Schizosaccharomyces pombe: one gene and its partners. The gene in region 3 interacts genetically with the main gene of each other region. Each region holds a gene or a part of one and is shown on either strand. Other genes may lie near its edges. The genes, in order: rad13, srs2, nse6 and res2.

What was found.
Region 1: mutations in nse6 (region 3) and rad13 impair growth when combined (synthetic growth defect), as found in Schizosaccharomyces pombe (2 studies listed by BioGRID).
Region 2: mutations in nse6 (region 3) and srs2 impair growth when combined (synthetic growth defect), as found in Schizosaccharomyces pombe (2 studies listed by BioGRID, with this or other methods).
Region 4: mutations in nse6 (region 3) and res2 impair growth when combined (synthetic growth defect), as found in Schizosaccharomyces pombe (2 studies listed by BioGRID, with this or other methods).

The regions. Positions count from the first base shown.
Region 1 is NC_003423.3:2,672,070-2,678,946, forward strand, and holds rad13 (DNA repair nuclease Rad13), read right to left. Parts: upstream 4,501-6,877; 5' UTR 4,289-4,500; coding exon 950-4,288; 3' UTR 921-949; downstream 1-920. Other genes in the region: SPOM_SPBC3E7.07C (uncharacterized protein), read right to left, coding at 105-328, 384-438, 482-509, 571-582, 628-675; SPOM_SPBC3E7.09 (Sad1-UNC-like protein), read left to right, coding at 4,548-6,527; methionine aminopeptidase Fma1, read left to right, coding at 6,804-6,877. UniProt on the Schizosaccharomyces pombe protein: Single-stranded DNA endonuclease involved in excision repair of DNA damaged with UV light, bulky adducts, or cross-linking agents. Essential for the incision step of excision-repair.
Region 2 is NC_003424.3:3,830,140-3,836,658, forward strand, and holds srs2 (UvrD subfamily ATP-dependent DNA helicase), read left to right. Parts: upstream 1-2,139; 5' UTR 2,140-2,635; coding exon 2,636-2,997; intron 2,998-3,062; coding exon 3,063-3,327; intron 3,328-3,347; exon of another isoform or gene 3,348-3,372; coding exon 3,373-3,803; exon of another isoform or gene 3,804-3,848; coding exon 3,849-5,454; 3' UTR 5,455-5,487; coding exon of another isoform or gene 5,488-5,533; 3' UTR 5,534-5,579; downstream 5,580-6,519. Other genes in the region: SPOM_SPAC4H3.04C (uncharacterized protein), read right to left, coding at 931-1,544, 1,636-1,817, 1,877-2,010; SPOM_SPAC4H3.16 (uncharacterized protein), read right to left, coding at 5,488-5,533, 5,580-5,787, 5,828-5,897. UniProt on the Schizosaccharomyces pombe protein: ATP-dependent DNA helicase involved in DNA repair at least for UV-induced lesions. Also aids the recombinational repair of camptothecin-induced collapsed replication forks.
Region 3 is NC_003424.3:5,295,549-5,300,579, forward strand, and holds nse6 (Smc5-6 complex non-SMC subunit Nse6), read right to left. Parts: upstream 2,233-5,031; 5' UTR 2,186-2,232; coding exon 617-2,185; 3' UTR 501-616; downstream 1-500. Other genes in the region: vma4 (V-type ATPase V1 subunit E), read left to right, coding at 1-156; protein tyrosine phosphatase Pyp3, read left to right, coding at 3,290-3,577, 3,683-4,306. UniProt on the Schizosaccharomyces pombe protein: Acts in a DNA repair pathway for removal of UV-induced DNA damage that is distinct from classical nucleotide excision repair and in repair of ionizing radiation damage.
Region 4 is NC_003424.3:684,919-690,514, reverse strand, and holds res2 (MBF transcription factor complex subunit Res2), read right to left. Parts: upstream 3,981-5,596; 5' UTR 3,923-3,980; coding exon 3,691-3,922; exon of another isoform or gene 3,527-3,690; coding exon 1,785-3,526; 3' UTR 1,336-1,784; downstream 1-1,335. Other genes in the region: ATP-dependent RNA helicase Rok1, read right to left, coding at 1-1,032; glutamate-cysteine ligase Gcs1, read right to left, coding at 4,245-5,596.

The DNA of each region.
Region 1 (6,877 bases), on a different chromosome or scaffold from region 3:
AAATATGGAAATTCATGGATCGCATAAACGATTTTTTTTAAAAAAATGGCACTTAAAAAATGGCCATGTTTCTTAGACCATTAAATTTGATTCCTAGTACATACCAAAAATAGTCGTTTCTTGCTCATACTCATCAGTATTCTTAATACGAAGAAGAGTACCAAAATTGTAATCGTCAACCTTCTTTTCATAGCGCATTAAAAATGGACGCCAGGCAGCTTTTCCTTTGGCGGACTTCATTTCATCCTCATTAACAAAAGAAGCTGTTTTAGGGTCTTTAAACTCGGGGAAGGTGTTTATTAAATCTTCAAAAATCTCATCATCGTATCTATTCAATAGTAAGCAATTTGAACTTTAAATTAAAGATGTAAATATATACTTACTTTGTCAGCTTTAACTCGCTTCCCTTGCGCATTTCCAAAAGACTCCAGTATATTTCTAAATTGTTATTTTTTATTCCATCATATTTTGCTCAACTTACGAGCCTGTTCAACAGCTTTTACTGCAAACTAAAATTTTTTAAATCAGTACATGCTTTACCAAAACTAAATACTTTCTACAACCACGTACCTGCATTTCAATCTAAAATCTGTAAGTATTATTAAATAAATAATAACCAAGGCTTACCTCGGCGGCATTTTCCGCATTTTCCGCATCAATTTTTGTACTTAACATTTCGAAAAATATTCTGTTTCTCCGTTTTTACTTTACTGCTGCTAAGTAGGTTGTAGTAGAAAGTGACATTAGGTAAGGTAACAAAGAGCAAGAAAAATTGTAAATAATCAAAACACGAATAAATCACAAAATATAAGCTATGTTGCTCAATTACTTTGTCTAAACACAGTTACAGCAGGAAAACTCAAAAAAATTTACTCAACAAAAAATTACAGTAACTTCTTTTATAGGAACAACCAGTTAAGTAAACAAATAAATAAATAATTTATTAAACTTATTTTCTTCTTCTTTTGCTGGGTTTTTTTAGTAAGCTAGTACTAAGCTTGGTTTTTCTAGGTAGATTCTCAATAGAAATTGAAGAAGAATTCGTCTTCGGAGTTAAACTTGCTAAAAAGTTATCTTCAGAGTCTGAATCTGAATCAGAGGAATTTTTGCTTGCCATCATTTTCTTCCTTCTAAGAATACGGCTTTGTAGTTCATCTGATCCTTTAGATTCACCAAATGCATCTGCGTCTGCCTGAATTTCTTCACTCATTGGGCTTTGATTGCTAATCTGATTTTTAAAAGATGAAAGAGCATTTTCAAGCCGTTTACTCTTAAAATGGTATGCAACTCTCGGCGCATATACATTAGTATTACCACCTTCAAAAAACTGAGTCAAATTGGACTGTGTACCCACGAATTGCTTTTTATGCATGTCTTGTATAACCGGAAGTAAAACTTCATTAGTTCGTTGTTTTGACCAACCCACAGTAGCCATCAAAAACTGGCGTAACTCGTCAAGGTCGGGTATGCCCCATTGAAACGATTGCTTGCTATCATCCACGGCCGGATGAAGATAAGCTTCATCAACTAACGGATTAGGAAATTCTGATGGTAAAATAATTTTTCCAACCAACTTGTTAATTCTCTTTTTTACTGGCGTATTAACATCATTTTTTGATGCGTGTCCAGTTGATAAACGTTGAAACCATTTTTTAAATTCAAAAAGTCCAGTGTCACCAGGAAATTCATGTAAAATCTCCAGTGCAAGAACTGGACCTACCCTAGAAAGTCCCATAGTATAATCACTTCCCAAAAGATGTGCCAACTTAATTAAATCCATTTGATTCACATTAAATTCTCTTTTCATATCATCCATTAAATAGAGTTCGACAAATTTGTTCTGATTAAACATATTTCGATATACCCGAGTTCCACCAAAAAGAAACACGTCTGAGTCATCAGTAACAATCCCATCAACCAGCTTTAGCTCCAAAAGTTTAGAACACTGGGCTTCTGCTTCTTGAGGAGCAACGATATATGGTAAGCCAAATAAACGCAGAAGTTCTTGACATTCTTTAATCATTACTTGAGTGACCTCATCCGCATCACGTTTTTCAGACCTTTTTTGATTTTTGAGCTCTTTCAACCTTTTTTCAAAGGCCTCTTGATTCCACTCTTCAGTTTCATGTCGTTGATTGAGTTCTGAAACAAACCGATCATATTCCTTTTCTTCTTCTGCCATCCTGATAATCATTTCCTCTTCTTCCTCATCTAAAAGTTTTTCAACCACTTCAGGCTCTACTTTCGAACTCAAGGCAGCAGCTCCTTTATTTGGAGAGGCTTCTTTTTGAAAGTCAGTTGGAATGCTAAGTGAAGGGCTGCTGGTCTCTAAAGTAGGAAGAACAGCGTCAATTGATTCGGATTTGATATCCCCAGTATCCTTAGCATTTTCGGAGCTCAATAAATACACTGACATGGCCTTATCACTAGAAACATTTAATGGGTTGGTAACTGTGCCATCATCAGCTTGTTCTTTCATATTCTCAAAGGGTTCCAAAGGATTGAGTTCACGTAAGTCTAAATCTTTTTCATCATCTTTTACCGGAAGAAGAGGTGAAATAATTGGATTTTCAATTCCAGGTTTAGCAGCGTCTAAATCGGATTCAATATTAACTGTTGCATTAATAGTATGTAAATTTGTATCTTCCACAAGTTTAGAATTATCCGGTGCCTCACTTGGTATATCAGTTTTAGAATCCATAAATGTTTCAGTTGGTTTCTTTAATTTCTCGAAAAAAATAGACTTTCCCCAATCCATAGGCTGAAAAGGTAAAGGATCAATTAAATCATTGGTTTTTTTCTCTCTACTCGCAGATGGAAGGGCATCCATAAAAATTGAAGTCCCATTTTCAGGATGCTTTTTTTCCGCGAATGCTAATGAATCATTGGAAACATCTCCAACATGTTCAAGTTTCAAATTTTCCTCGTCGTTAAGAAGTGAATTCATTGAATCCTCTGCAGGAATATCGGTCGACAAAATTTCAAACGTCTTTTTCTCGCTATTCAACTTATCAAACTCAGAAGCCGAAAGACTAAACAGCTCTTTTGATTTTTTGTTTTCCTCTAGAGATTGCTGGGTTGCTAATTGAAGTATTAAATCATCAGTAACATTATAATCTGCTTCATCTGATTGCTGATTTTCCGAAAATGAATTTTCTTTTATTTCCTTTAATTTAGCGGCTACCAATTCTCTAGGGTTCATGCTATGAGATCGGCTAGGTAAAGGCACATCGTAGAATGCCTCATCCTCGTCTTCGTCTATAAGATTGCTGCTAAGTTTTGTAGCCTCATCATCAATAATAATAGGTTCATTGTTTGTAGATCCTGAGATAACACCGAGAGCCCATCCACCTTCAGCACCTTCGTTTTTTACTAAAATATATTCTCGGTTTTTTTCACTTACTACTCTAGAGGGTCCAAACTCATTCATTCCAGTAAAGTCCATTAATCTCTGAGTTAAATCGTTACGTTCCTTCAGTCTCTCAATTTGAAAACGAGAGAAATCCATTCTATTAGGAAACATCTCGGAAAGTTGTTCAGAGCTTAAACCCATTCGTAAACGAGAGCGTAATCTTGCTGCACTTAAAATACTATATTTATCCGTATCGGGTAATGATTGAAATAATTCAGAGTCAAAATCAATATTTGAAAAATCAAATAAATTTATATCTTCAATTTTAGTAAAACTAGAGACATATTGTGTAAGCTCATCCTGGGACATAATTCGAGGGTCGTAACTCGACCCTAACTTATCAAACGAAACGTCCATTTCAGGTAGTTGGTATGGATCAGGCTTCAAATAATTTTTTCTTTGATTAAGTACTGGCTTAATTTCTGAATTATCCAATGTCATAGATGAAGGCATTTGTCTCTCATTTTGAACCGAGGCATTTGCCAATGCAGTAGCTTTTTTATTATTTTCCTCTAAAAGCATTGCCTGATGCCTCATTTGCAAAGCCAGAAGTTTATTGGCCGTGACCGTGGCATTTTCCTCCCTGTCGAGTCTTCTGGCTTGTCTTTTTTGGATAGTTTGGCGTTTCAATGACGGCGCTCCTCCATCAAAAACAAATACAGGTTTAATCCCAAAAAATAATAGTTTGCATATCCTTCTAAAAAATCCTACAACATGACTGCTTTTCAGCTGGTTTCCTTCTTTGTCACGTACGGCCTTTAAGAATTGATAAATCCAAATTGAAGCGTCAATTGCCAACCGTTTGTTAACAAGTGTTTCTAGCTTGACAGGCCTTTTTACCGGTTCTAAAATATCCCAAAGACCTGAAACCCCCATTGCAAAATATTATATGCGATGTCAAGAAGTTTCGTTGTAGACGACTTTATTTTTGATTATTATACGAAGAAATGTGATTAAAGCAAGCCTTTTTCTTTACCCTTTTTCTTCTTTTTTAATTAAAATCGTTATAAAAGACATGTTTTACCAACAAAGCGATAAAACAAGGGCATGTGCGATGATTGATGCTAACACTTTAGTGTGTGGCACTTGACTTGAGCCAATTACCACATTAAACTGATAGGGCTGCCTAAATCATATGGTCAAAAGAAGATTGTCTGCATTTGGAAATGCCTTTTTAATTTATTTTATTATATTTCGGTTATGCTGCTGCTCTCCACAAACGAGTCATTGGTGTAAATATCCGGCATTGTGTTTGAAGTCACCAGATACGCATAACGAAAATTTGGTATGTGATGCGTACCTTTCTGTGATTGCTACCAAATCTGAAGAAAAAGAAGCTAGCAACCCTACAACATGGGATTTCACTCCCACAAATAAGTACCAGGAACCTTCGTTTCACACAAAAACGAGTTTGAATGGAAGTGATACCATTTCTTCTAATTTTTTGTCAAAATATGAATATTCCAATGGAACAAGTACTAGCGAATTTATAGATTCAATTAGCCCACCATTGGTGAACGAGACGTCTACAATTTCATCCTCAAAGAAGCTAGAGCAAAACTATTCTGTAACGGAAGTTATTGATACTAATATTATTACTAGTTCTTCGGTTACTCTACCAATTTCTGAGGATGGTTCCTCTACTTCAGCAGCAGCTACAATTGATTCAAATATAGATGAAAAGACTGTTGCATTCTCAGAAGAAAAAAGATTCAACTTTGCTTCAACTGACTGCGCTGCTGCTGTCATTAAAACAAATCCTGAAGCAGTCGGATCTTCTTCGATTCTGACCGAAAACAAAGACAAATATATGCTGAACAAATGTTCCGCTGAAAACAAGTTCGTGGTAATTGAACTTTGTGAGGATATTTATGTCGATACAGTTCAAATTGCCAACTTCGAATTTTTTTCAAGTATATTTCGTGATTTCAAGGTCAGTGTAAGCGGTAAATATCCAAAATACGAGTCTTCTTGGATGGAATTGGGTACATTTACGGCCTTAAACCTAAGGACTCTTCAATCTTTTCATATTGAGAACCCTCTTATTTGGGCGAAGTATCTTAAAATAGAGTTTTTAACTCATTATGGGTCAGAATTTTATTGTCCTGTAAGCCTACTTAGGGTTTATGGAAAAACTATGATAGAAGAATTTGAAGAAGCAAATGAAGACTTCTTAGAACAAAAAGTGAACGACGGAAGCGCTATTAAAGCAGATGAAATCCGGAAGCCTCAAGAAAGTCCTATTTTTGTGGACGAAGAAGATACCGATGTTCAAAGCAAACCAGTGAGAAAGAATCCATCAGTCGAGTTGAATAGTACAGACACCTTACTTTCTTCTACTGTGATATCTAAGTCTTTGAGCACTGTTGTTATAGGAAATGAAACAGGAAAAAGTGAATCATATCCTGCAACATCAACTCGCTCTTTTAACGATATTTCTCCATCTTCTTCATCTTCTTACAGTACCGCTCAAATATCTACCTTTCCTTCTAATCAGGAAAGCATTTACAAAAACATAAATAAGCGTCTTTCTACCTTAGAAGAACGGAAGAAGGCATTTGATGAAATTGTAGAAAAAATATTAACAAATTATGGTAAGCACAATGCCAAAAACATGAATTTTACGCAGCTATTACATGAATTGAACTCGACCCTTCAATTAGAAATTTCGAAATTGTCGAAAAGTGTCGTTAAGCCGTCTTTGTTTGCTCTCCAAGCTAAACTTGAGCTTCTTTCTGCAGAAAATGAATACTTTCAGAGTCAAATTACTTCACTATATCAAGAATCATCTTTTCAAAAGCGACTTTTAATGCTTCAACTCACGGTTCTAATCGTTTTAACAGTGTATATGGCCGTATCGAGGCTTCCAGAAAATCTGCCAACAACCCGTTCATCTTCAAACAACCCTATTGAGGCTTCAAGACCACCTTTTTCACGTGACGAGCAAGATATTTCGAAGGCCAACGATTTTCGCGTTAGCGCTTCCTCAGCGGTTTATACCGTTGGACCTGAACTACTGCAAAGAAAAAAGCGAGATCCAAATACCAGCATACGCAGTATACACGAAAGAGAACAAGATAAAATTATACATTCTAGGAGCCATTCAGTATGCTAATCATAGAATGTATTGTGAAACTTCCATATTTTTTCATAAGTTAATGATTTAAATTCATATTAAAATTAGAAAAATGAATTATTTATTTAAAAACTGAAAAGCATATATTAAAGTTATTTTTTTAGTTTTGCAAAAATCATAACTTTAAAGAGTGGCATTGGGTTATATAGGTTCCAACGACATTAATGTACTTCACGGCTACGAAGCACTAGTGTGACTAGAAATTCTCGAGTCTAGAAACTAAGGCGAGTGATACCCTTAAGACAAAGTATTTATATGGCTACTGAAATTGCAAAACATATTTGTTGCGGTATAGATTGTAATAATGAAGCTGACAGACTGCAATGTCC
Region 2 (6,519 bases), 1.5 Mb from region 3:
GTATATAGCTAACTCATACGCTCTATCAGATGGGTTCCGTATATAAAATTCTTAACCAAAGATATGGTTAGTTTTAAGTATTAATAACTAGGTTGAAATTTTTCTAACTTAATTGATGAATATTAATTCTTTGTATACTATCTTGAGAATCAGTAATCTCAGGGCTGAGAAAATACTCTGCCGGTAGACACTATACGGTACTTCTTAAACGTTTAAATAAAAGTAATTTATACAACAAATGTCTACGGCCATACCTAGGCGAAAACACCAGTTCCCGTCCGATCACTGCAGTTAAGCGTCTGAGGGCCTCGTTAGTACTATGGTTGGAGACAACATGGGAATCCGGGGTGCTGTAGGCTTCCTTTTATTCATTTTTTTTTTGTTTGTTTTTGTGTTAATTTATTGTTAAACATGAAATTTTTGTATTGAAATTTTGTCTTGAACTCGTTGAGGCTGTATAATTTTCAAGCAAAGCTGGAAAGCATACTAGTTTAGAAGGTTATGCACATGCATGAATTGACTTTGATAATATAATAATGTTTTCGTTACTAATCGTGTAAAAGAAATTTGTTCAGAATATCAAAAACAGTAGTTTTATACATAGTAGAAAGATTTAAAAATTGATTAATTCTCAAGAGAGACCAATTGATACATACAGAAAACAAAAAAATTATATAAATGGAAAAGGGTATGTTTCGTAAATGTTGCAATTGAGAAATAAAGCGCATTTCATTTATCGTAATTTGCCTAGATCAGAAAAAGCATTGCAAAATTAGCCTCCTGAGTATGAATCTGATGATAATAACTAACAAACACAGGTTGCATAATACATGTTCCGATAATTTTCGGCTCTCAAATACTTAAATATATGATCGTTTCGCATCAGCCGTTTCAAGTCATGAAAAAAATAATAATAAAATATCAACAATACTATGCGGTTGCGGTTGCATAGCTAACGCTGCTATCGGTGACCAATTCAACATGGCTACTTTGAGCGTACGAAATAAACTTGAATCTTTCAGAGAAATTGGCGCATTCCATAGATTTCATAATGAGTTCTATAGGGTAACGGCCGCATATGGTGTTTTGAGTGGTTTTCAAATACTCTGAAAAGTCATCACTACTTTTCGTTTCAATAATTTTCATACCAATATGATCCAAATTAGATATAGACTCATAAATTTTGGGACTAGTGGGGCCACCTCGTCTTTTGTATTTTAAGACTGCATCCTCTAATTGATTCGTATCGTTCAAATAAAGGGTATATCCAAATCTTCTTCCCCAATGACAAAAATCGGAAGATATAACAAATGAATTTGATTCATCTTTAATATACTGACTCAGAAATTTCGCTGCTGCCATCATTGTGGTTGAAGTTAAGGCACCTATCATGATAGGAACAATTTTGACTTTTCCCAAGCATCCTTGTTTCAGCAAATGAAAAGCTAAAAGAGGGAATTGCATTTCGAGGCTATGTTCACTTTCATCCACATCCAAGGTCATTGAGTCGAAGCTGTTATCGCTAGCGACGAGTTTCTGACATACTATATAAATTTCCAGTTAGCAAATAATCTGTGCTGAGAAATAGACAGTAGCAATTTAGTAAAACTACTAAGCAAAACTGTTTTCACATACAGTCTTCATCCACTTTCAAATCACCTAAAGGTGTTGAGCAGATGCTAGCTCGACTGACTAGGCATTTTCTAGTAAAGATGTGATGAGAAGGCCCAAAAACAAAAACTCTCTGAATTTTCGAAAAGTCCAATTGCTGAAATCCTTGGGATGCGACTTTCCCACTATACATGTAACCAGCATGTCTGCTCAATATTTAGCTATATACTGAATATCACATAAATTATAAGTTGTCTATACGTACGGTGAAATGACAAACCGTTTCCCAGTCTCGGGCGTTGGGTTTTTGATAAATGATTTTAATTGCTTAGTTAGTAATTCTGTATCATCCAAATACCAAGATCCTGCATGAGTTGCTTCACGAATGGCTTGTGACATGAGATAAATTGAAGAATAATATTGATACGTTCAAATTGTAATTCGGTTTGTGATGTTCGTTTGACAATGGGTATTATTTTCTGAACAACACACTGTTACATATATCTTGCTTTCTTGCCTTCATCATTTGCGTTTTGCTGCACTAACACCACTTTTGGGAGGTCGAAACACAAGACTAAGACAATCGCAAAATCAGGTTTTCACACAATAAAATCATTACTTAAGAATACTGAATTGAAAGGCTTTCATTTGTTATACGTTCACGATTTACTCAAATTTCTTGTAGTAAAAACAGGTGGATTAAAATCTTTTTCGTATCCGTGTATCAGCCCTTTCGCGCTGGTAGGTCAATCGAGAATACTAAGAAATTGCAAGTGTTGTTTTCAACTAAATAAGGGTTGATCTTCTAAATTATTTCACCTATGCTATGCTTTCGTTAAAATAATAAGTATTTGTTAATTTTCTTAGTTTGACGTGTCATCGTTTCACAATTTAATATTTATTACCCGACAACTCATCGGAAAAGACCGTGTTTGGCCAAAAATCTTTGCATTGTTTTCCTATTTCTCACTTTTTTAAAATATACATTTGAAGCTGTCGGTTGAGTGTTTTGTTCTTCTCAATTATGGAAACGAAATCATCATACTTGAAGTTTCTGAATGAAGAACAAAGGATTAGTGTTCAGAGTCCTCATAAGTATACTCAAATTTTAGCCGGTCCTGGGTCTGGAAAAACCCGTGTTCTTACCGCTCGAGTAGCCTATTTACTTCAAAAGAACCATATTGCAGCCGAAGATTTAATTATAGCCACCTTTACGAACAAAGCCGCAAATGAAATAAAGCTCAGAATTGAAGCTATTTTGGGGAATAGTGAAGCCTCTAAGCTTATTTCTGGGACGTTTCATTCTATAGCGTACAAGTATTTGGTTAAATATGGCAAGCATATAGGGCTATCCTCAAATTGGTTGATTGCTGACAGAAATGATACGTATGTCTTGTTTACACTTTTCTAACTTTTACTTCTCCACTTTCAACCATTGCTGATCTATTTAGTCAAGCTATTATGAAGCGACTTTTAGACTCTCTCAAGAAAGCTAAAAATCCGATTGCTTCTGGTATTAGAGGACAAGAATTGACTCCTCAGAATGCTCTAAATCGCATAACTAAATTAAAGTCCAACGGTCTTCTTGTTAAACCTGGAATGGATCAGTTGAGTTTGATTAATGGTCTGGAAGAACCACCTAAAGAGCTTCAAAGCCATCAATCTGTTGAATTGTATAGACTTTATCAAACTTCCTTATGGAAGAACAATTTAGCGGTACGTAACAAGCATAAAGTTGTATGTATATATCTAACTATTTAGGATTTTGATGATTTGCTTTTAAACTTTATTTTATTACTTCAAAAGCAACCAGATTGTGTGAGGAATATAAAACATATTTTAATCGATGAATTTCAAGATACTAGCAAAATCCAATATTTTCTTGTTAAGCTTTTGGCATTGCAAAATTCAGATATCACGATTGTTGGCGATCCCGATCAATCAATCTATGGATTTCGAAGTGCTGAAATTAGGAACTTAAACCAAATGTCTGAAGACTTTGAAGGTACCCAAGTGCTTCATTTGGAAAGAAATTACCGTTCAGCTAAACCTATACTTGAATTAGCACTGTCTATCATTTCACAGGACAAAAGCAGGCCTAAGAAGGGGCTCAAAAGTAATCACATCTCTTCCTTAAAGCCTCATTACCGATTGTTTGAAACTAACAATAAAGAATCTTACTGGATCGCAAGGTTCGTATGGCTTCATTGCATGAAAGTTTACTAACGATTCTTTAGAGAAATTAAACGTATAGTAGGTTCTTGTCCAGAGCTTATATTTTATAACGATATCGCAATCCTTGTAAGGTCCTCCAGCCTTACAAGAAGTTTAGAACATGCACTTTCCGAACTTGGTGTGCCCTACCGCATGGTTGGAGTTAACAAGTTTTTTGATAGAGAAGAGATTCGAGACTTAATAGCTTACTTGAGAGTCCTAGCTAACAAAGATTCGACTTCTTTAATTCGTGTCATCAATGTCCCTCCTAGAAATATTGGCAAAACAAAAATCGACCGTATTATTTTCGAAAGTGAAAGAAGAGGATTGACCTTTTGGCAAACTTTAAATGAAGTAAAGAATGAAAATATTTTACTTTCTCAAAGAAATGACAAGAGTTTTCTAAAGTCTTTAAAGTCTTTTCTTTGTTCAATCTCCAAACTTGAAAATCGTTACTTGTCTAATGGGCACTCAGCAACTCTTAGTGATTTACTTTTGGGAATACTTTCTGAGATTAAATATTACGAATACCTGGTTCGGAAAAATAAAGAAACTGTCGAAGAAAAATGGGAAAATGTAATGGAGCTTGTACAACAAAGCGATAACATATCTTGTATATTCTATGAATTAGATTACAAAATATCAACAATTGTTCTATTGCAGAATTTTTTGACTCAAATCGCTCTTGTGAATGAAGAACAGAAAGAGGGCGAATCTCAGAAGGTTACCATTTCAACCCTTCACGCAGCTAAGGGTTTAGAGTGGCCTGTTGTATTTTTACCTTGTCTTTGTGAAAATATTATCCCTCATTCTCGTTCAGACGACCTCGACGAGGAAAGAAGGCTGCTATATGTCGGTGCCACACGTGCACAGGCGCTACTGTATCTATCTTCCTTTAAAAGCGTCACTGGAATGTTTGCAGATATGCAGAACTCAGACAATGTACAGGACGTCAGTCCATTTTTAAAAGGAGAAGAAATGAAAAGATGGGTGATGGAAAGTGAAATAGTTTTTAATGAAAAGATTGCTTCTGAAATTGGAACCATATTGGGTCGGAAATCTTATGGGAAAATAACTAATTTAAGCGGTATTGGTTCAAATGCAAATCATAACGGAACTAAATTCGAAAACTTGGGCTTCCAATGCTGTCGTGTTCTAGCTGAGGCAGAATTGAAAAAGAGAGAACGAGTCAAAAGTGTCAATGACTATAATAAAGATGAAACAAATTTTAGAAAACATAATGCCAAGAGATCGAAAACCGATATACGAAGTTGGTTTGAGAAAAAACAACCAATCGATTCAGATGTAGAGATTTCTGAGCCGTCAAGGTCCGCAAGCATAATGGTTGCAAATAAAGATTTAAATGATCGAAGTTTTGAAACTGTCAATCGTATTGTATCGACAAGAGCCTCAACGACAAACGCTTCTTTCATGAGCAGCGTCAGACAAAATCTTGGTAGAGGTCCTTCTACGAAAGATCAGGTAATAAATAGAACGTTGAGGGAAGGTCACCAAGATGTTGTGCAACATACTGACCTTAATCAATCAAATACTAAGGTCGCGAGTGCCCGTCCTGCTGGTTCGAGAAAACGATTGGGTGTAAGGCTACGAGTTTCACGAATGTTATAGTCATATCATGTTGTACAAAATCACGTATTATATTTATAGACAATCTAAACACCTTGCTACGGTGTTTTCTTTAAAATACCTACATATAATGTCAGCTTGAAAATAGATACAGATAATAAACTTACATTAGAGTACTACAGTTTCGACAAATATTTCGTTGGCAGCGATCACATGTAGAAAGATATAATACGTTATCACAAAATTCGCAAACACCGGTAGATGAAGGCAGATGGTCATTGTCAGTAACAAAATTAACCTTTTCATTTAAAACGATAGAAGAGGCATCATGGGCATTACTTTTTTTGCTTGCAAACAAACTAAGAAAAGATCTCACTTAGAAGCTTAGTAAAAAATCGCTAAATTCTTCACTTACTATCCAAATGATTTTTACACTTCTTTCTTGGTAACCTACTAGGAACATGTTCAGAACGACATCTTTTCATAGCTAAATCTCGGATACTTCGAGTTTCAAAAAAATGTGACACGTTGTTCTACCCTCTTAAAGCCTTATCGAGGTGTTGTTTTGTTTTTGTGGAACGCGGACTAGATGGCTAGTGCATGGTCTAATGGACTGTACAGGAATGGTCAAATAGGCGATACTTCTTGTCAAAATATAGCACTAAATGCATTTTTGAACCCTGTATATATTCGAAAAAAATACAAATCGTCCTTATTAATACATTTCGTAAGTCAAAATGAAATTGCTGAAATGAATGTGTTAAGGTAAAGCAAATATAGCTAGATTAAGGCTCATTTAAACTTAAATTGAGTAATATTTTCTTAATGTTTTTACATTTATCAGTAAGTGCTCCTTCGAAATGCCTTGTCCAGCTCATTGAAATTCATGGGTCATACCTTCAAAGGCTGAAGTATGAAATCAGGAAGGATTCACTGAAATAAAGAAGTCTTTCTGATGTCTGATTTGAGTATACGATAAACAAATGTGAATGTGCAGATATGAACAGTATAAACCATAGAAAGCCATGTCAAAGCCGAGGAGATACAGATGTTCTACATAGATTTGCAGACAATCCTCCTAGATATTCTATGAGAAAGGAGAGGAAA
Region 3 (5,031 bases):
TCTGTGCTTGGAGGTGTCGTTTTAGTAGGTTTGGGTGGTAAAATTCGTGTTGATAACACTTTGCGTGCTCGCTTAGAGATTGTGAAGGAAGAAGCCCTTCCTGAAATTAGACGTCTTCTCTTCGGTGAAAATCCTAACCGAAAGTTCGATAATTAAATTTTGAGATATCGTCATTTGTTTCTTTCATGACATTAATTTCTTTTGCTTTATCTTATAATCTTTCTCAAGTTCATTTAAAGCATTTATCTATAACTTGTTTCAAATTTTTGCTTCATCCAAGTATTTAATGCTTCAGGCTAAATGATCGCAAGTTCGGCTTCCATTGTTTTCTTAAATGTGGATTGTGTATGATTTCTGCTGATTCTTATCATAAATTATTCCCATAGCTGCTTTCTATTAATCAAGTGGATACAATATCTTTCAATGGATGCTAAGTTTTGACTATCGTAAAAGATGGTAACTTCTTTCTTCTTTTCTGTCCATTTGTAATTCCAAGGGAATTATAATAAGTAACTTTCTTTTAAATTAAACTATGGATTTCTTAGTTAGAAAGTATTATACAATTTGTTGAATTTGCGCCAGCACTGAAATTAATATTAATAAATACACTGATTGTTTATCTTTTGTACGCTTGCCGTTTATTTTTCTTTTTTCCCTTCTTCACCTTTTTAGCTGAAAAGCTTTTGTTTTCTTTCATCGATAAGTTAGAAGTTTTATCCTTGAAATACCTGTCCTTTTGTTTATTATTATTGGGCAAGTCACTTTCAATAATCCTCTCCAATTCTGGTGCTGAGTTTGTATTTAAATAGTAAAGCACCATAAAAAGTCTATGTATGCAATCTTTAACTTCACATCTCGATAGTAGCAAATGGTCTGTTGAACCAGATATTGTTAAATCTATTTTTCGTAATTTTTCCAGTAAGCACTCTAAGCGCTCATTAGTTTTAAAATGCTTTTCATCCACCGCATATCCGAAGGTACGAATCTGGTACAATAAAGTTGTATAGTCATTATTACAGGAAGCGGAAATTTCATCTAGTCGTTGACATAAAGAAGAAAAGTCTGAATCATCATTTTTACTTTGTTTCCCAACAAATAATGTAAAAGCAATCTTCTTTCTGAATTTTTGGCAGGAACGAGACAAAGAAGATAGTATTGTAACCCAAACTCTAGGACTTTCAGACACCTTATGAATATTACTGATCAAAAAATCTGGATTCAATGATATTGGAAGTTCCATGAATTGAGAAAATTGCCATTTACAAAATGAGCCCACTTGATTGTCAATTAAGATTCGACATGCATCCTGAATCATTTCAAAGCGAACAGTGTCGTCGGAGAACCGATACAAAGTTCCACAGCATTTTAGGAAATTAATTACCTTAATTTTCAAATTGCTTTTTAAATTTTCTGAGGCTGACGTACGTTCCAACTGGATTGGTACCTGTCGTTTCGCTAAATCAATGCCAATCATATCTGCAGTAGTCTCAAAAATAAATCGTACAATTTGGTTGAGATTATTAGAGCTGCTTTTATAGCTATAAAAAATCTTTTCTAGGTTAGCAATCCATTCAGAGCATGTTGTGTCTCCTAAAGAGCGGAAAAATTGCAAGCTGCATATTGACAATGCAATATCTAAGGGGACCAATTTTGCCGATAATAAATCACCAAAAGTTGTTGGTATAATTCCTTCATTAAACTCCAAATCGTTATCTTTCAAGCATTCTGCTTTCAGGGTGTTCCAGTCTGGAACACGAGCTTTTGAATTGCTACAATATTCGTACCTAAGGTCGTCATCATAAATAGGGTTAGAACGTAGAACATTCAAAACATTTGATCCAACACTTTTTCCTATTAATTCATCAATTTCATCTCCCGTTTGAAAGGTTTGAGTGCTGTCATATTGCAATAAATTTTGTACTGCTAATTTTCTTCTTTTTGCAACCGAATCGTCAATTGTAGCAGTACTAGAAAGAAGATCAATATTCCATCTGTATGTAGATGAATTAGAAGAATCATTTTTCAAATACTGTTTTCGCGATTGGGCTCTTGCCGAAGGCACCAAAGAAGAGATATCAGGAAGCTCGTCCAACTCTTCAGAATCATCACTATCAAGTATGTGGTCAATTAATTTTGAAGAATTATCTAAATCAGGAAATTTTGAAATGTTATTAGACGCATTCATAGAACTATACCAGCAAAGACACTTTTGATGTGCTTTGGTAAAAGGGTGGATGGATATATAACAAAAATTATGAAATAGTAAATAGTGGAAAGTAAACGTTTATAATTTAATTATATAGCATTATAGTTTGACGACGATTGTTTTTTTGTTGTTTATAGTCTCATTTCATCCAATTTGAGCATTCCAAGCAAATAATATTAAACATCGAGTAAATTATTGATTTTCTTATTAAATGAATAATTTGTTAGTTTATAGCATTTCAACTGCTATTACCGGAGAAATCATAAACATATCCAAGCTGGCTTCGTTGATGTTTACATATGACTTTTCTTAAGCGAACATTCAAAAAAAAAGAATAGAAAAAACCTGTCATAAGCTTTTGTTAACAATTAATGATTTTTACTAATTCTGAGTTAAAGTTATTGGAAACCTTAGAAGAAAGAACACCTAAAACCAATTTAGGCACGTTTTCATTCAAAGAAATCTTTACAAATTACATTAAAACCAAAGAAGCCAAGTAAGGGAGTCAAACGAGTCAAACACAACTCCTAAAGAACAATGGCGACATTCAAACAGGCATTTAATGAAACAATTGCTGAGCAAGTATTATAATACTTGGCCTTATATAAGAAACGTCAAAACTTTTCTCTACACTTTAAATATTTTTGTTTTTGAAAGTAAAAGTATAGCAGATCGATTAAGTCCTTGGAGAGAACATAAGTGCGTTTAAATCATTTTATTCACTATCATCAATACAGTTGTTTACAACCTATAAAAGTATCCCACATATAGCTTGTTCTTCATACTACCGGCTTCGTAAAGGTTCGAGTTACCCCCACATAGACATTCGCAAATACTCTGGGCCTAGTCCTACGAAGTGAATGTGAACGTGAACTAGATTACGACTACAACTAGAAACTAGCGCTATGTGGGGGCCGTACAATGATGATTTATTAAACAATTATACTTCTCTTTTTTACTGACTTCTGTCATGGTTTTAGGAATCATTTAAAGTCGTTTAGTAGAAATTATTCTTTCTTTTTGATAGACACAAAAAAATACTTCGGTGAGAAGTTTAAAAGCGAATAAACGCAAAAAATCAATATGTCTTTTAAAGAAGTATCTACAGAAAATGGTGTTCTAACACCCTTGATCACAATAAAAGAAAAAGCGTACATGATTATTGAGGGACTCAATGAGGAAGAGATAGAGCTGTTAAATACTAGGTTGCCAAAGCTAAGTAAGAAAGCGCTGGCTAGAAACCGATACTCCAACATAGTCCCTTATGAAAATACTCGTGTTCGTTTAGATCCAATGTGGAAAGAAGCATGTGATTACATTAATGCTTCCATAGTAAAAATCCCTTCTGGGAAAACATTTATCGCTACTCAGGTTAGGAATAAAAAGAAATTGCGGGATTGTAAACGGCTTTGGCCTTTTTTCTTTTCATCATTTTTTGTAACATAATTACTAACTTAGTCTTCTTTATTTATATAGGGTCCAACGTCGAACAGTATTGATGTTTTTTGGAAGATGGTCTGGCAATCTGTGCCAAAATCAGGCATCATCGTTATGCTTACCAAATTGAGGGAACGCCATCGTCTGAAATGTGATATCTATTGGCCAGTGGAACTGTTTGAGACACTTAATATCGGTGATTTAAGCGTTATTTTGGTAAAAGTTTATACTTTGACATCATTAAATGAAGTTCAAGTTCGTGAATTTGAGCTGAACAAGGACGGGGTCAAGAAAAAAATTTTGCATTTTTACTATAACGGTTGGCCTGACTTTGGTGCACCACATACCTTCTCACTACTATCACTGACTCGCTATATAAAAAGTCTCTCATATTCTCCGGACTTTGAAACAGCACCCATTATAGTCCATTGTTCAGCGGGTTGTGGCAGAACGGGAACTTTCATGGCGTTATTTGAGATTTTATCTCAAACAGATGACTCTACTTCAACTTCGAAATTTGAGGTGGATAATATCGCAAATATAGTTTCCAGTCTTCGGTCACAAAGAATGCAATCTGTTCAATCGGTCGATCAGCTTGTTTTTCTTTATACAGTATCTCAAGAGCTGCTTCAAGGGAAGGAATTTCTTCTTCCTCAGTTATAGCCTTTGGTTTAGAGTTTGCTGATAGTCGATTCGATGTTAAAAACTCGTCTCATGAATTTTCGAATTAACATTATATTATTTATAAGAGGATCTTCTTTTTTTTATTCAAAATTTATTTTATTTGTCTAGCACGTTTTATTTCTTTGATATCCAGTTTTTGGACCGCTAATGATTAAAAATGATTTCAATTACTTTATATGGCACTATTTCTTTAGAGACCTATAAAATGATCAATAAAACGTAAATATGAATACTATTTTTATTTTTTATCTTATCGAAGGTTCAAAAGTCATCTATTGTTATAATTCGTAATGACAAACACAACTATCTCCAAAATATTATAGGTCGTCAATGTTTGTAGCAGTTCATCCTTTGTGATTCATTTATAGATTTTTTATACAAGGCGCTTTTAATTTATTAAAGAATTTACAATAATTTGCTGCATGGAATAAAATTGACAAAGAAGTAACCACGAATTTAAATGTTCATCGCAAAAAAGTTGAATGAACGCTTTGGCAATTCTTTTAATTTTCTTGACCACGTACCATTTGACGTGCAAACTATTAGTACTTTGGCATATAGTGAAGCTGGGTATCTGTGGTTATTGATATTAATACTGTTTAGTACATATAAAAACCTTGTCAAGTATGAAATTCAACTTTCCCATTTATTCCATTACATATCATATAAATTGCTATAAAAATAATAAACAAACAATAAACTTC
Region 4 (5,596 bases), 4.6 Mb from region 3:
TGCTATTAAAACCCAAATTTCACCCTTCCGAAATTTCGCAAGTGCTTCTTCGCGCTTGGCTTGTGGTAATTCTCCATGAATGACACCAACGTGAATTTCATCAAATAAGAGTTCTGTGTACAATGCTTTCGCTCTTTCTATATCTTGAACAAATATTACGACTCGAGGCTTTAACTCTCCATTTGAAATCATTTGACGCAAAATCACAATTTTGGAAGTATCCGAACCAACAAACAAGAGTCTCTGATCGATGCTATCCGTGGCTGCATCTTTCAAACCAACGATGATTCGAATCGGATCAACCGTTACGACTTTAGCTAACTCTTCGACGCGTGATGGAATAGTAGCGGAAAAAAGGCTTTTACAAATATTAGAGCTGGTGCATGCACTTAGAATATGATCAGTTTGTTCAATAAAGCCAGGCTCAAAAAGTCTATCAGCTTCATCCATAACAAAGAATTCTACTTTTTCAAAGGACAATCCGGTTTGTATTGCTTGTACTAATCTCATCGGGGTGCCTATGCACATGTCATACTTTTCCCGGAGCTTGGGCGCTTTTTCTTGAATTTTTTCATTAGATTTACTTAATTCAATTATCTTCAATGAAGTTCCAAAAGACAGCTTTTCTGCCTGTCTATATATTTGCTCGCACAGTTCTCTAGTCGGCGCTACGATAATCGCTCTATATCCACCCGGAACATGTAACTGAAGTTTTTGCAAAATTGGGAATAGATATGCAATAGTTTTTCCAGAACCAGTTGGTGCACATGCCAATAGGTCTCGTTTAGAACCTATCGTTGGAATGGCATATCTTTGAATTGTGGTACATTCTGTTATGTTTTGTTTTTTTAAGTTTTCACAAAGTATTCCTTCCGGAAACTCTTCAATTGGATCAACAGGATTATTACCAGTAACTTTAGCTTTTCCCTTAGTAATACCTTGTAATTTTTTTGCTTCTTTTTCTTTTATAGAAGGTTGAGGTACTTTATTCTTAAATTTGACATTAGTTGTCAAAAGTTTCAACGCATCCATTTCCTTATGCAATACTTAATTATCAAAGTTAAAATATTTTAGTAGATATTTCAACGAAGGAACAAAAATAAAAGATTGTTGAAATTTTCAATTATACATATACACGACTAAAGTAAGTATGGTAGCTGCTGGGGAAAGGCTGCACTAACGTCCTCTAGTTAAACCAGTACGTTAATTCAAATTGTGTATTCCAACAGCGTTATTAAATTTATGTATGCTAAGTAAACATAATAAATGTATTCAAAAAAACGCGATTTCTGCGTTTATAGGTTACATATTTTTATATCGTATTTACGAGAAATACTGCTATAGATTTTCTTTCAATTAAATAATTGATTATTTGTATTAATCACTCTTTTACCTATTTGAACAGGACCCTCAAATTAAAGTGAAGCTCAGTAACTTGGTATCCTTTAGATGATCATTAACGTGCGAATGCAAAAAGGATGAATCATGAATGGAAGCACGCGCTGTAAATGAGATAAATCATTTTACAATAGTAGATTGTTTTAGCTGCGCATAAATAAGTAACATAATAGTTTTGTTAGGAAGGAGCAATATATGTTTTTTCCACTTGATTCCATTCGAAAATAATATATAAAATAACTCGTGTTTTTCTATCAAAGTATGATAACGTTGATAAATGCAGTTTGACAGTGAGTGTCATGGATAAAATCATTAACTATCATAACTCGTATCATTAAATAAAGAACGTAACATTAAGACAAGATGTAAATGAAAGTTTCCAAGATTCATTTTTCTCGGGTTAATGCTTCTTCCACAGCATCGAGTATTTCCAAACTCAAATCTTCAGGGTTGATGCCACAACTCATTGCAATAAGACGACGGTAACTATTAACTGTATCATCAATTCCTAGTTCTTCATACAATTTTCTAATATACAAAGTATCTTTTTTGCGGGAAGCTTGGAGAGAAGTTAACTTATTAATTAATTGCTCATATTCATCAGAATTGGTCACGTTGTTGCAAGCCGGCTTTTTAAAATCGTTATTTAACGAAAGTCCGTCTTCCTTTTTTAAAAAGTCGGAAGGAAAACTAATAGATAATGAAGTATGTGGCTTGAGGCTTCTCTCTAAATCAAAGATTTGTCGTGCTTCCAACCATATTAGTAACCTCTTCGAAAGCTGCTGGTAAGTTTCTTGGGCCTCTCGAATCAAGTTTTCCATAGATTGACTATAAGTGGGGTTATTTTTCTGCAGAAAGGTCAATTCCTGATAAGTTCTGGAAATTTCATTAAGCGTGTCTTGCTTGAGACGATTCGCTCTAATCAAATCTTCTTCTTTTTCTCGAAGCTGAGATTCATACTCCTCTGCTAATTGAGAAAATTTCGAAGATATTGAAGGAATTGCCTTAACAAAAGCATGCGATGAGCATGATGGCGAGATAATAGCAGGGCTTATTCCGGAAAATGAAAAAGCACTATGCGAAGCATTTGAGTTTGACTGTAACAATGAATGTGGCTTTTTGTCAGCTTCCAAAAGATACTCGGAAGCTGTACGTCTTTGTCGGTTAGGAATAGAAGGATTGGCGTTATAACTTAATAAAGAGTTTACACAATCCATGGCTCCATTTCGAGCAGCAATTAATAGAGAGGTATCTCCATTTGAATCTTGTAGATTTACCAATCTCACAACATTTTCAAATGGTTGAATCGATATTAGTTTCTCTAATATGCAATCCAAATAGTATTTGGCCGCTGCAACTTTTGAAGGAGTTGAGGTTGATTGCACAATATGATGAAAAATTGACTGACCATTGGTGTCAACAGCATAAATAGTAGACTGGAGAAGCTCAAGCACTTGTCCAAAAGTTTGGCAGTCATAATTATTGGTAAAGATAACACTCCTCATCAATGGTGTTTGACTCAGTCTGTTACACACGCCAATGTCAGCATTGGCTCTCAGTAATAACTTAATCATCTCTATATGTCCCATTGAGCATGCCCAATGAAGAGAAGTGTGGCCATCATCATCAATAACACTGTTAACTTGAAAATCCGGGGGCGGCGAATACAGGAAGGAAGGAATGCGTCCCTCTTCTGGGTGAAGAAAGAAGTCAAGTAGTGACTCTTCATATTTGTCAAGCGGTGCCTCCAACATGCCTAACTCTTCAACAGGTTTTATAGTGTTATCATTTGGTGATAGCAGTGCATTAGGAGACGCTGGCAGAGGTGTTGCAGAAACTTGCTCCTCTGCACCAGGCAAATTCACTTTATTCATAGATGACTCAATTGTTGGTGATATAGAAGAATTCGGTTGTTTTTCATTGACGGAATGCAAAGTGCTACTAGAAAGTGACGACGGTTTACGGCCTCTACGGCCACGTACAGAAGGCTTTTTCTGCTTGGTCTGCTTCTTCTTTGGAGCAATTGCTTTTCCCTCATCAATGTCAAGACTCAATATTGGGCTCATTATTCCGTCAACCTTATACTTTGTGGCCAGGTCGACCCCACGCTGAAATGGAACCCAAGTTCCTATAGTTTGGTTAATACCGTCAATCATTTAGAGGACGCGTCCATAGAGATATTTAATACAAAAAGGTATTAAAATACCTCGATTTGGCTTAGTAAACACTCAATTGTTCGCGTTGTTCAAAGATAGCAAATCATGTCACAACGCGTAACAGTAGACAACTTACCCTGATATTTTCCATATCCACCTTGTACTTTTTCATGCGCACCAATCTGTACTTGTCTTTCTAAAACCCTTGTCCTTTGTGGTTTGTCAAAGTCAGCCACTTTCAAGATTTGTGTAGCATTCAACCAGGAATCGCGGCGTCTGCGCATCACAGAGACACCTTTAATAAAGCATTCATAGACTTCAACCCCAGAATAAACGGCAACATGTACTGCGGAAGAACGTGGAGCCATTACAGCAAAAGGCAGTTAAAATGCGTAGCGCGGACTCTTAAAAGGGTGCATGCATTGCGTTCGCTCACCCTACCTGCGTATACACATAACAATAGGGAAGGGTGGGGCAATACAGAAAATCAACTATGTAGTTACTGAATATATATTAGCACTAATTAAATAATGAGTATTCACTTAATGAAAGGAATCAATGGGAAGTCTCAGTTGCCAAAGAACTACACTTGTAATACTGAATTGCAAAGGAATTTAAATTACCAAAATTTTAGATATGTTATTAAGTAGAAAAAAATCTTATATATATTCCACTCAGAATTCATCTGCATTATGAGCATTTTCCAAGTAACGTATCGTCGTAGTCGCCATCTACAATTTTTGCTATTCTTCTAATTAAATCATAATTAATTTCGTCGTTGACCACGCTGTCTTGCTTATAAGAAGGATGAGTTGTAATGAAATTGCGTATCCACGAAGCAGCAGTCAAGCATTGGCCATTTGCTCTTTGAGAAATTAGGCGAATATAACGTTCAATTAGGCAAATAGTTTTGGCATCAGGATTACAAGAGTATAAATAGCTTCGAACAATGGTAATTAAACCTGGGAATCCGTTTTCACGGTGCTCACCATTAAATAACTCGTCAATTGTAAGTTGACGGAACTGACCAGATTCATCATCAGTACTTGCGTCAGGAAATGGATTGCAACGGAACCAAAACTTTTTACGATGAATGGCATCACGAGCATGAGCAGCTTTCATGTTTTCATCCACTAGCGATATCGGCATGTACAGATTCAAATTGAAGGATAGAATTGCACGAGAAAGCATCACAACAAAAATTGAATATGCCGCATTTTCAAAATCAGTTATTTGAATTTCCATTGATCTAAATTCTACACGCCAACCAATATCACTACCTGGTGGAGGAGGTTTAAAGCGCATAGATTGCCAGTTAGTTGAGTTTAGGTTCTCAAAATGAGCATTGGATACACTGTTGTCTTGTAAAATGCTGTCACTGAAAATAACCAAAGGATCACGAGAGAATATGTGAGCCATGTGCTTAGCCAATCTTTCATCAATGCAATCTTTTATTAGCTTATCGTAGCAATCTTGATTTATAACGACCGGGACGTCATTATATTCCGGTAAATTGCGCTTGTCATTCGAGATATATAAGTCAACAGAATCATACCTTGATTTTGGCACAGTTTTCATTTCTTCCTCGGTTCGATCATCGACAGCACCAGCAATCACATTCCATCTACAATCTTGATCAGCCAAATAGCCTCGAAATGCTGGAGTTCCGGCAGATAATGCCAGCATCAAGGGGGTAATAGGAGTCAACTGATCGTATAAAAGTCTAGCTTCATCACAACTTTTAGCTTGGAATGTAATTTGTAGACAACAGCATCCCATACCGAAACCCATACTGTCCATGTAAATATGATTGTCTAACGCTGCACCATCTCGTGCATTTGCATCTTCAGGAAACAAATTTCTATCCCAAGGAACGGTAGGATCGTGAAATGGTTTAATTGTATTTTTATCGAAGAAAATCGGAACATTCATGGCCACTTTTCTCCCGCGCCTTTGACGAATATTAGCAGTCAAGGTCGGGAAACGAACATGTGTGTTGATAACATCGTCCGGTAAGAAAAAAGATCGCGAAATTGCACCAT